Caenorhabditis elegans: one gene and its partner. The protein of the gene in region 2 purifies or fractionates together with the protein of the main gene of each other region. This does not show direct contact. Each region holds a gene or a part of one and is shown on either strand. Other genes may lie near its edges.

Evidence for each region.
Region 1: the proteins of gpd-4 (region 2) and T25B9.9 fractionate together in Caenorhabditis elegans (co-fractionation; one large-scale study listed by BioGRID). This does not show direct contact.

What each region holds. Positions count from the first base shown.
Region 1 is NC_003282.8:10,766,756-10,772,652, forward strand, and holds the start of T25B9.9 (6-phosphogluconate dehydrogenase, decarboxylating), read left to right. Parts: upstream 1-2,897; 5' UTR 2,898-2,905; coding exon 2,906-3,235; intron 3,236-3,358; coding exon 3,359-3,428; intron 3,429-3,462; exon of another isoform or gene 3,463-3,557; coding exon of another isoform or gene 3,558-3,669; intron 3,670-4,031; coding exon of another isoform or gene 4,032-4,141; intron 4,142-4,188; coding exon of another isoform or gene 4,189-4,434; intron 4,435-4,480; coding exon of another isoform or gene 4,481-4,593; intron 4,594-4,655; coding exon of another isoform or gene 4,656-4,778; intron 4,779-4,826; coding exon of another isoform or gene 4,827-4,957; intron 4,958-5,005; coding exon of another isoform or gene 5,006-5,224; intron 5,225-5,272; coding exon of another isoform or gene 5,273-5,327; intron 5,328-5,391; coding exon of another isoform or gene 5,392-5,535; intron 5,536-5,605; coding exon of another isoform or gene 5,606-5,609; exon of another isoform or gene 5,610-5,897. Other genes in the region: T25B9.8 (Lin-15A/B-like domain-containing protein), read right to left, coding at 1-171, 216-1,076, 1,178-1,333, 1,381-1,404; inpp-1 (Inositol polyphosphate-related phosphatase domain-containing protein), read right to left, coding at 3,558-3,669, 4,032-4,141, 4,189-4,434, 4,481-4,593, 4,656-4,778, 4,827-4,957, 5,006-5,224, 5,273-5,327 and 1 more. UniProt on the Caenorhabditis elegans protein: Catalyzes the oxidative decarboxylation of 6-phosphogluconate to ribulose 5-phosphate and CO(2), with concomitant reduction of NADP to NADPH.
Region 2 is NC_003280.10:10,168,731-10,174,312, reverse strand, and holds gpd-4 (Glyceraldehyde-3-phosphate dehydrogenase 4), read right to left. Parts: upstream 3,046-5,582; 5' UTR 3,034-3,045; coding exon 2,511-3,033; intron 2,459-2,510; coding exon 2,026-2,458; intron 1,978-2,025; coding exon 1,908-1,977; 3' UTR 1,815-1,907; downstream 1-1,814. Other genes in the region: WW domain-binding protein wbp-11, read right to left, coding at 33-418, 554-595, 642-805, 853-967, 1,016-1,388; RFX-like transcription factor daf-19, read left to right, coding at 4,992-5,059.

The sequences.
Region 1 (5,897 bases), on a different chromosome or scaffold from region 2:
ATTGCAGAAGGGCACAATATGCTTCCTGCTACCCTCGAATACTAGTTTCTGCACAAATCTTGAATCCTTGATGCCTTTTACTGCATGATAAGCTTGCACAATTTTCTCGTTATCCGTGTGAATATCAATATCTGGATCCACGACTCCCAAAAAATGAAGAGCGCTTTCATACTGAAATATAAGTTTTAGTGCACATTTTCAAATCAATGACTCACCAATTCATCTAAATGAGATACACAGCATTTAAATCTTTGCATTCGAGCCAACTCTTTTGCTTTGTCCATATCGTACTTATCATTCATAACACAAACGTAGATCATGATGTAGGCATCTGTATTATTGACTGAACGGACCTTGGTCATTTCCATTTGTTGATTACACACCAGACACGGCCATTTGACATATCCAGGAATATGTTCAAATGTTGTGAGTTGGATGGACGATTTCGAACGTTTTTGTGATGATTTTCCGTTGTCTATCGAGCCAATTAGTGACTTTTCCTCTTCCACTCTTGTTATTTTATACTTTTTCAGTAACAATTCGAATTCCGATTTGCAATTAGTCAATGAAGTAGAAGGTCCCGTTCCAAAACTGTCAGAAGTTACAGGGTTATTCATAATTTGACTCTCGCTGGTTGAATTTCCTGCATTTGAATTCTCCTGCATTTGAAGATCCTCTAATGAAGGTTTTGTTTCAATGGGGGCATCATCGTAATCTGATATTGGTTCTAATTTGATATCTTGTGAGTTCACATTTGGACTCGATTGTGCCATATCATTCGAATTTTCACTGTTCGCGTCAAATTCATTATCCATAGATGACTCCTCTTCCATTTCGTTTGGGAAAACCGACTGTTCATCAGATCGTCTTTCCCTGCCTACCGAAGTTTGACTCAATTGGAAACAATTTGAAAGGCTATTCGGCATGTATTCGTTGTTTGATTCTCGACATTCAAGAATATCAGTTTGCATCCATTGACGAACCATTTCGTGACGTTGTTTTTCTAAATTTTCGTATTCATCGGGGTTCATAAGCTCCCATCGTTTGAATGTATCGTATTTGTCGACATTCACTTTCTATAAAACTTTTAGATGAATATGTGTGGATATTTCTCTATTTTTATAGTATAACTTTAAAATAGTAAGTATTTGAAAAGCTCATTTTTGAAATTACTTACAATTAAGTCTGATGTTGTAGGCAAAACAATATCCGGTCTGATGAGCTCGAACATTGCTCGAAATTTTGGATGATTTACGATAGAAAATTCAATGTTTGTACTTCTCAGAAAATCAATCATCAACACGTTGAGCATTTTCTTCTGATAAGCTTGTTTCTGAAATTTGGATTTTTTATAAATACCTAGGAAACTCTAAAACTGACCTCTTCATTGCTGATGTTCTCCATTTAGTTTTATTATTTAGGTAAATTAATTGCATAAAAAAATAAAGTTGACAATCAATATGGTAAGAAACTCGCTCAACGCAGGGTCAGCAGCGACGCAGACAACGAGACAAAGGCAGTGTAGGCAGCGAAACGACGGCAGAGATGTGTTTTGTGAGAATATAGGAGAATGAGGACGTAAGGAGAAAAAAAATCGTTGAGTGAACGATGAACGCTCTTATTAAATTAAAAAAAAAGAAACTAAAAATTAATGTAGAGAATTCAGTTCGAATTACCGCCGTAGCCCAATAGAGCGAGTTTGCGGACCTCTCAAGAAAAAGTTTTTACCTTAAAAGATTAGTGTGTCAATTTCAATTTTAAGTTTTCCCGTGTTTCTTTGGATCTTATTCCTGCTTGCGCATGTTTACATAAATTAAATGTACTCTGATTCCCGTTTTACAATGCAATTTGTTCTCTGAACCTCCAATTTTCTCATCATATTCGACGCTTTCAATCCTGAGCGAAAACAAAACACCTCGAGAAGATCGAATTGTCATCGTTTCTTGTAAAATTTTGAAAAAAGGTGACAAAACCTCCGGCATTTTTTGTTTGCGTCGTAGCCTAAAAGTAACAAGAGTGCAGGGGAGAAAAAAAAGTAATTCAATGCCAAACACCACTTTGTTTTTTGTTCATTCGTCGGCATTCGTCGGCACTCGTTCTAAAAGAACAGAAACTTATTTTCTCCTATCATTGCGTTCAATTTTTGAATTCAGGAAATACTTGAATCCTTATCCTTGAAATATTTTGAAATTTTTCTTTTCGAAAACCTATTGAGGTCAATTTTCTAGAAAGATAACATCTCACAGAACTCCGAGTGTGGTCTACAAGATAGTCACAAATTTCCCCCAATCTCTTATTCACTGCAGAAATCTGTCTCCGTCTCTTTGCTTATCTGGTTTCCTCGTTTTTCTTTTTTCTGTGCACTTTCCGTCAACCAGTTCAGTTTTTCTAACTGTACCCAATTATTGTTATAATAATAATTACACGGCCTATAAACAAAACAAATCGCCTCCACTAGTCAATATATAAATAAGCGATGGAAGTTGAGTGGAGTAGGCCACAAAATAATGATGATGACATTGATTGTTTGTCCAAAAATGAAGTAAAGAGCGGGAGGCGCCTCCTCACAAAAAACTAATCAAAGTCGTCTCTCACGTTTTTACAACTTTCCCCGAATTATCCAAAAACGTTCACATCAAATTTATAAATTCTGAGTAATGAAAAAATCCTTTCTGGCATCACTTTTTTCGAAACATTATCATCATTGTTTCATTGATGTTTCCCGAAATTGAACCATTTTGATCAAAATTTCACACATGAGAATTGTTTTCTGAAATAAATTGGTCATTTACGCCATAAGAGACTTTTAAAAATCAATTTTGTAACCGCAATCTATATTTTTCTTCTCTCCGTCACTCTTAAAATCCTTTTTTTTAATTTTCAATGGCTTTTTCCAGAAATTAAAATGGCCGAAGCTGATATTGCCGTCATCGGATTGGCCGTTATGGGTCAAAATCTTATTCTGAACATGAATGATCACGGATTCACTGTTTGCGCCTTCAACAGAACTGTCAAATTGGTCGACGATTTTCTTGCCAATGAAGCTAAAGGAACTAAGATTATTGGAGCTCATTCAATTGAGGAAATGTGCAAGAAATTGAAAAGACCACGTCGTGTCATGATGCTCATTAAAGCCGGAACTCCTGTCGATATGATGATCGATGCAATTGTTCCGCATCTTGAGGAAGGTGATATTATCATTGATGGAGGAAATTCTGAATACACTGATTCAAACGTAAGTTTTTGTTTTTTTCTAAATATTTATTTATTTTATTCATTAGACTTTTCTCTCTAAAAATAAAATAAATATGTAATATAGTGAATCGATTGTGAACTGACAAACAACAATTATTTTCAGAGACGCTCCGAGCAACTCGCCGCAAAGGGGATCATGTTCGTCGGCTGTGGAGTTTCCGGAGGAGAAGAAGGTATGAATTTGTATTTTGAATTGTTTGCAAAGAGTTGAGGTATACGGTAATTTATTTAAAAATACAATAACAGGGATTTAATGACCAGATTAAACCAAATGTTTGGAAATATGCTTTTTTAGATTAATATTAGTTCACTGGTCCACTTGCATCCACCGAGTTGGTTTTCATTGATATTTCTCTTTCCAGCGACTTTTGTTGCTTGTAATGTTCAGGAACCGGCTTATTGATCACAGTTAGCCTAGAAAAATGATTAACCAGTAAATAGTGAACAATTAAAAGTAAGGTTAATTGGAAAAATGATTAAAAACCATTCCTATGATGCTAAAATGACCAAATATCAAAATAAAACTCTTCGCTAAATTAACATGAATATTTAAAACATAATTATAACATAAAACCAAAATAAATTTTTTGGTACACTACTTCCAAAAAAATTGGTGAAAACTGAGTTCGCACCGCTTTTTGACTCGAAATACAAAAATTTTACAAAATTTTTTGAATATATTTAATATTATTTTTGGTAATTTAAATACAATATTAATGGTTTTTAATCATTTTCCAATTAACCATACTCTATTGCTAGGTTTAAAAAAAGCTAACCAAAAAGTGGCAAAAACTGCCTTATGATCCGACGGTGTTGTTCCTCTCATACAATCGTACTGAATGTTTTGGAGCCATTCCGAGTTTCTTACCCAAAAGAGAACGCGGTCCTAAAATATTGAAGTCTTAGCAATGTTTGTAATCAGAAATTACTCACAGTAAAAGACGGAATCCTTTTTGGCACATAATTGTCTGTGTCTGGCTCGAATTTATGTGTTGGAGGGAATTTAATTGGAGCTTCCTTGAAATCTGTGAATGCTAATTGCTTTTTCCTATGACTGGCAAGCTCTTCTGTTTCAAAAACATCTCTAAATGTTTTCTCTGTAATCTTTTCCGGATCTCTCCAGTCTACATTGCTCTCTACAGTAACCCGGAAATTCAAATCTCCAATCCAAAGCACCACCTGAAAATGATTTATGGAGGAAGTGTCGCCCTTCAGAGGCGCTTACGTCAGAACCAAAAATTTCGTCTTTTGCATGTGCATGAAATCTGGCAAGCTGAGGAAAACGAAGAGTGCGGACCACTTTAGCGTAGTCTTGGATACGTTGTTGTGGTGTTGCATCTGTAAGAATATAACATTTTTGTGTTCTCATCATTAGTCTAACAATGTAAGGGACCACTCACGTGATAAATGACATCCGATAAGCACTATAAATCGCTGATATAAACGAAGACATACCGCGATTGCACCTTTCGTTCGAACTGGTTTTGCCATTGCACCAGATGCGATAAATGATACTTGTGGTTCTAGAAATTTTAAACTATTAGATTCTAGATTATAAGATCTGAACTCACGGATTGCATATCGAAGATGTTTCTGTCGAATGAAGACTATTACCATTTGACTCCAGGCTCTATGTGAAAGGTACAGACGATGACCATTGAGAACTGGCTCAAGAATTCGTAATGCTTCTTCATGAAAAGTTCTGAAACTGATTTTAGTTAATCGAAAATTAATAGTTTTCGGAACTAACGGTGCTGTGGAAGGTATTTCTTGCAATGAGATGAAAAATATATCACTATCCATTTCTTGTCCTCGTTCTGCTATTTTCTGAGCGAGATGGCTCAATATTTTCACACCTTTTTCGTTAATGTTCCATGTCACGGTACATACTTTCAGTTTTCTATCACCCATAGCTTCAATAACGTCGTAACTGACAATTGGAACATTCCCAAATCCTTTTACAGCAGGGCTAAATATCATATGTTCAATGAATGATGAAAAAAAAGTAATCACTTACGCAGTATTTTGCGTTTCAATGCAGTATGTCCAATTGCCGTCACTGATCTCGTTGACTGAAATGAAGTGTAATGGGTGTCAGAACAATAGGATTAAGTCGGGGAAGGATTAGAGGCTTACATGAGGCGCTGTTACGCCACGTGGCAGGTTGAGAGGAAGAACGGAGCCATGGAGGGTGTCGAGTAGGAGTTTGATGTGATTGCTTCTCACTTGAAGAATCTCCTGATTTTGGATCACCTCCAGATGCAGAGGGAGTGTTGGCATCTAAAAGAAATTGATACGTCCAAATAAATGTAGAATACTAGATTTCAACTCAAATGTTTCTCAGTCTTACCCATTTACTGTATGAATTAAATAACTTGGCTTATTGCTTCGTTTCAACCAACTAAGCTTCGAAATGCATATTGAAAATAGAGAACATAAATCCAATAGCGACGGACTCTATCAGAGGCTTCAAGTATAGGAACGGGAGGGAAGAGCGCGCACTTTTGTATGTCAGAAAGCCCGCGTTTTTCGTGTGCAATTCGCTCGTTTTTGTCCGATGATAAAATGACGAACAAGTATAACGGACGACTCTGGTGTTGGTGGTGCTATATAATGTTATGTAGATTTCGGTGTGCAAAGGG
Region 2 (5,582 bases):
TTAAAAAAGAAAACTCGTAACAGTATCCAAATTCAAATGAGACCATCCAATTCTTTCATAAAATCATTATAAGCTTCATCGGTATTTTTTGCTTGCTTCTGAACCTCCGGTCGCCTTTGTACTGGAGCCGCTTGTCGTGGGACGATAGTCTTGTTGTCTCCTGGACGACGGAGCAATTGTGCCGGCACTAATTTGACAGTTTCTCGTCGTAAGTTTCGTAGTTCAGGAGCAGCAGAAAGTGTTGCTGGAGCAGCAGGTTCATTACTGCGATTAATTTGTGGAGCCGACGAAATAACAGCTTCTTCGTGATGGTTTTGGAAACCCATTGGATTGTAATGAGAACTCGCATGTGGGTGATGGTGGTGATGATGGTGCGGCATTCTGGTTGGCATTGAGTTATATGAGGATGGAGGTCCGTCTGGAAATCAAAACATAATTTTATTTGCAAAACATAATTTTTATTACATTTTTTTTAATGTGGGAATTTCTTGAAAATTTCCAGACAAAAGGGAGTAAGAATTTTAAATGTTGGAATTGGCCTATAAAAACTTACAATTTCTATGAATTGGCTGGTACGGGTTGTCGAATTCGGGAACTGAAATTTTTCAAAAATTACTTTCGTTAAGAAATTAACTCCTTACTAGGTACGGGCGCAAGATCGATGTCGTCATAGTGATCATCGTGCACTTCCTCTTCTTCTTCTTCGCTGTCACTGAAATTTGGAGCCAATCCACAAGGCGGCCCAGGAGGCTTTTGTCCAGCTACACGAACAGGTCTAGGAGGAAGTTGAAATTCCACTTTACGTCTAAAAAATAATTAAAAATTTAAATTCTCAAAACTTATTTAACATACTTTATCATAGCAGGAGCAAGTAGTTGATTATTTCTTTCAGGTCCGGCAGTAGAAACATCTCCCATTGGTAAGGGGATCATGTCCGGGTCAGCTTCGCGGGCAAGACGAGCTTGTTCTAAAATGAACGTTGTGATTTATAAAAAAAAAGAAAAATGATACTTACGAGCAAGAACAGCTAGTTTTTGACAATCTGACTGATATGCATTGATTTTGTCATTAAACTTCTTTAATTCAGCGTCTTCTTTTCCCTGTTGCAATGTCATCCGTCTTTTATTAATCGAATCTGTCAGCACTTTCTGCTTCTTTCTGAGAACATCGATATGGAACGGTTGAGGATCTAATCCAAGGATCTGCCGTTCTAATGCCAAAAGTTTGCTCGTTGTCTCATCCAGATTACAGTATTTCGCCATAGCTTGTCTTATTTGCTGCCTGTCTTTTTTGTTTCTCTTGTTTTCCTTTTTTCGATCCATTTTACGAGCTTGATCGGTAGGCGCTCGATAGCGCTCCCCGCTTTTCGTTTTACTGATGGACGGCATTTCTGAAAAAAAAACATGATTTAGGACAGCTGTTCTGGAAATAAAAAACGAATTAAATACAGATATTCGAAAAATGAGGAGCTTTAGGAAAAACATCTAGAATAAAATTTGTATCAGATAATGGATGTGAAATGGATTCATTAAAAAAAAGAAAGATGCTATTATTTTCAAATGAGTGCAAAATTAGCTTTTCTAGACGAAATGTTAATTTTAATCAGAAAAATACGTTTAATTTATTTGGGTGCAAGATCGTCAGAGGCGTCGCGGTTTAGCCCGCAACGCACCACAAAACACTATCAATAGTCCACGTTCGCACCATCAAAATGCGAAGCAACTTTAAATTTAAAGGTTAGGTCTCGAATTCCAATAGACATTCACTTTAGAAGTCATTTCAATCTTTTTCTAAAATCACGACAAAAGTACTAGATTTCACCAGAAAAATAGGTTTATTCAATGATGACTGTAATAAAAAAAATAGCTATGAAATACATGGATTATACATAAAAGATCCTGATAGAATTATCCACGGGTGGCGATGTATCCGATGAGGTCGACAACACGGTTCGAGTATCCATATTCATTGTCGTACCTGTAAAAAATAAATTTAAAATACATTTTTTAAAAATTCAGTGGTTACCAAGAGACGAGCTTGACGAAGTTCGGGTTGAGCGAAATGCATGCTCCAGTATCGAAAATGGACGAGTGAGGGTCGGACACGAAGTCAGTCGACACAACTTGATCTTCGGTGTAGGCGAGGATTCCCTTCATTGGTCCATCGGCAGCGGCCTTGACTACCTTCTTGATGTCATCCATCGAAGCTGGTTTCTCGAGGCGAACGGTCAGATCAACGACGGAAACATCTGGTGTAGGGACACGGAAAGCCATTCCAGTGAGCTTTCCGTTCAGCTCCGGAATGACTTTTCCCACAGCCTTGGCGGCTCCAGTGGAAGCTGGAATGATGTTTTGTCCAGCACCGCGTCCATCTCTCCACAGCTTTCCGGATGGTCCATCGACTGTCTTCTGGGTTGCGGTTACAGCGTGCACTGTCGTCATGAGTCCTTCGATGATACCTGAAAATAAAATAAATTAGAAAAAAACAAATTGATTTGATGATGATCATACCGAAGTTATCATTGATAACCTTCGCCAGTGGTGCCAGACAGTTGGTGGTGCACGATGCGTTAGAAATAACGTGATCATTCGAAGCGTCGTACTTCTCATGGTTTACTCCAACCACGTACATTGGAGCATCAGCAGATGGAGCAGAGATGATGACCTTCTTGGCTCCTCCTTGAAGATGGGCAGAGGCCTTTTCCTTTGTCGTGAAAACTCCAGTAGACTCGACAACGAAATCGGCTTTGACTGATCCCCATGCGATGGCAGCTGGATCCTTGCTGTTGAAGACCTTGATCTTGTGCGATGATTTGCCATCTTTCTGGACAATCAGAAAGTCTCCATCGTAGGTAACAGTTCCTTTGAATTGACCGTGGGTCGAGTCATACTTGAAAAGGTAGACCATGTAGTCGATTGTGATAAACGGATCGTTGACGGCGACCACTTGAACCGTGTCCTTTTCGACAGCCGCGCGGAGCACGAGACGTCCGATTCTTCCGAAACCGTTGATTCCGACGTTGGCTTTCGACATTTTTTTGAGTCTGTAAGAAAACTTGAATGAAATTTTGACGGAAGATTCACAAGAAGTAATAGCTTAAGAAGGAACAAATCTGAATAAAAATGGCGAAAATTCAGATTGAAGCAAAGAGAGCAAAGCAAAATCAACCGCATCGGGAAGAAAAAGAGAATAAATGATGAAAAAGAAATCTAGATTGGTGAACAACTGCAGAAAATTGAAAACTTGCCGCTCGTGCGCGTCTGCAAAGCGCAAAAATATTTTTCATATTCGTTGCGAGACCCGTGGTTTTTAAATTTGGTCATCCCTTTAAAATTGAAAATTCTGGTGGAAAAAAATCAATAATTTTTCTTCAAAAATAAAGAGAAGATCAAAAATTATTGAAAATGAATTTTTATTCCGAAAAATCGAGAATAACACTAAATTTATCAGCTTTTAAGTGTAATCTAGAAATAAAAAAGAAAAACTATGCAAAAACTGAATATAAAAATGTGAAAATAAAATATTTTCGTTTCTTTTCTGAAGAAAAAAATAAATATAATATGCATTGTTTTATATCTATGGATATAAGACAATAATTGTTGATTTTTAGCTATTTTCAACAGGAAAACCGATTTTGTGCCGCTCTCTGATAAACTTGGGTACGGTATGTCTTGAAATCGAAAATTGTAACTCATAGTTTATTACGGGAACACAAAATTCTGAGAATGCATATTATTTACGGGCTCGAATGGATTAAAATAATTTATTTATCTATAGAATACTAAAATTAAGCAAAAAATGAGAAACGAATGAAAAAAGAATGTCGCTGTTCGAAATTAAATTAATTTCATAAATCGAGCCCGTAAATCGACACAAGCGCTACAGTAGTCATTTAAAGAATTACTGTATACAGCTGTAGTTCTCGCTACGAGATATTTAAAGCGTCAAATATGTTGCACAGTACGAATTTTTAGAATTTTGTGTTCCGGTAATATGTAAACTGTATTAATCATCCAGATTAAGAATATTACAATTTATAAAGCAAAAATACAGTATCAGGTCTCGACACGACCTTGAATTTTTAAACGGTTTCTCCAAAAAAGAGTGTACATTTTTAATAAGTAACTACAATAGTTCTTAATTGTCGCGGTTCACAGCTTTCAGTAACAAACTTCCGATCGTTGCAAGACCGTATTCTTGCAACATCTTTGTAGTTTCAAACTTTTAAACATGACTTTGACAGAACATTTCAGAGTTTTTTTGGGATGTCTGATTGTTTTTAACAGGTATGTTTGAAGAAGGAAATTTAATAAAATAAGTAACCTAGGTATATTATATTATTAACTCTCAAACATGTTGAATGTTTCATGTTACTTGAAATACTTGAAATTTGAAAAAAAAACTATTGTGATACTGATACATGTTACGGTATTTATTTTTCAGATTCGCCAGTCTGTGAGGAATATGTCCTAGTTTTCAGCTTCCGTTCCTATGCAAGCGCCGAGCCACCTTCTTCCCAACCTCGGGGGCCCTTAAAGAAATACTTTTAAGAAGGAGAAGCAGGGAAGAAGTGATGTTCCATTGTTGAGAGGGGCCCTAGGCACACACACATATCTCCTTTTCGTCCCATCTCTTCACCCACAACAACACACACACAACTGAGACACACACACTCGCACCACACACACTCACACAGACAGACACTCTCTCACTCACTCACGTACACTCCCCCAGGCAACGAGGAGACACTCCCCGCTGCCGCACATATTTTATCGACGCAGCAACTTAGTTTCGTTCCCCCCTCCCTAACTCTCTCTCTAGGCCACCTTTGCTTTTCTCTAGCTGCTTTTCCGGCTTCATCTCGGCTTCTTTTACAATTTTGGTTTCCATGGAAACTACTTCCAAATTATCCAAGAGACTAAATGCAACATCGTCTGGGTCTCTCTCTGTAAATGTCTAGTTTCAGGGGTGGTGCGGCAGAGAAGAAAGTCATGACCAATGAGGAGCCGGTGCCATCGACGAGCAGTGTGCTCAGTGCAGCCGAGAAAAACGTGAAGATGTGAGTAGTCTATCTGCAAAAATCGGCTGAAAGTCTGTACGACCACCTGTGCGAGAAAAACCCCATATCTTATCATATCAAATTCTCCCATCCCATCACTTTTTTCCCATTATTTCCATTTTCGAGAAAGAGATGAATGACCTTCACACGGTGTCGTCGTTGGGTGGCCATAGGAACATTGAATTGGAGAAAAAAAAGATACAGCAAAAAAAAGTGTGACATGACAAGAAAAAAACTGTTTAAGAAAAAAAAGAAGAAAATTAAGTAAATGAGGAAGGAAGTAGGAAAAATACTTTATTTATCAAAATAAATGTATAATATTTCAAAAAAAAAATCACCGAAACTTACAGTTTTGAAAAATGCGTTTCGTAGAACAACTACTATAGTGCTTAAATGTTCAAAAATTATAGCAAAACTTTTGGTTTTTTTTATTTACAGTCAAAAAAGTGGTGAAAACTTTGTCATAATTTTGAAAATCGACCAAAAAAATCAAAATTTCTACGAGTTTTATATTTTAATTAGA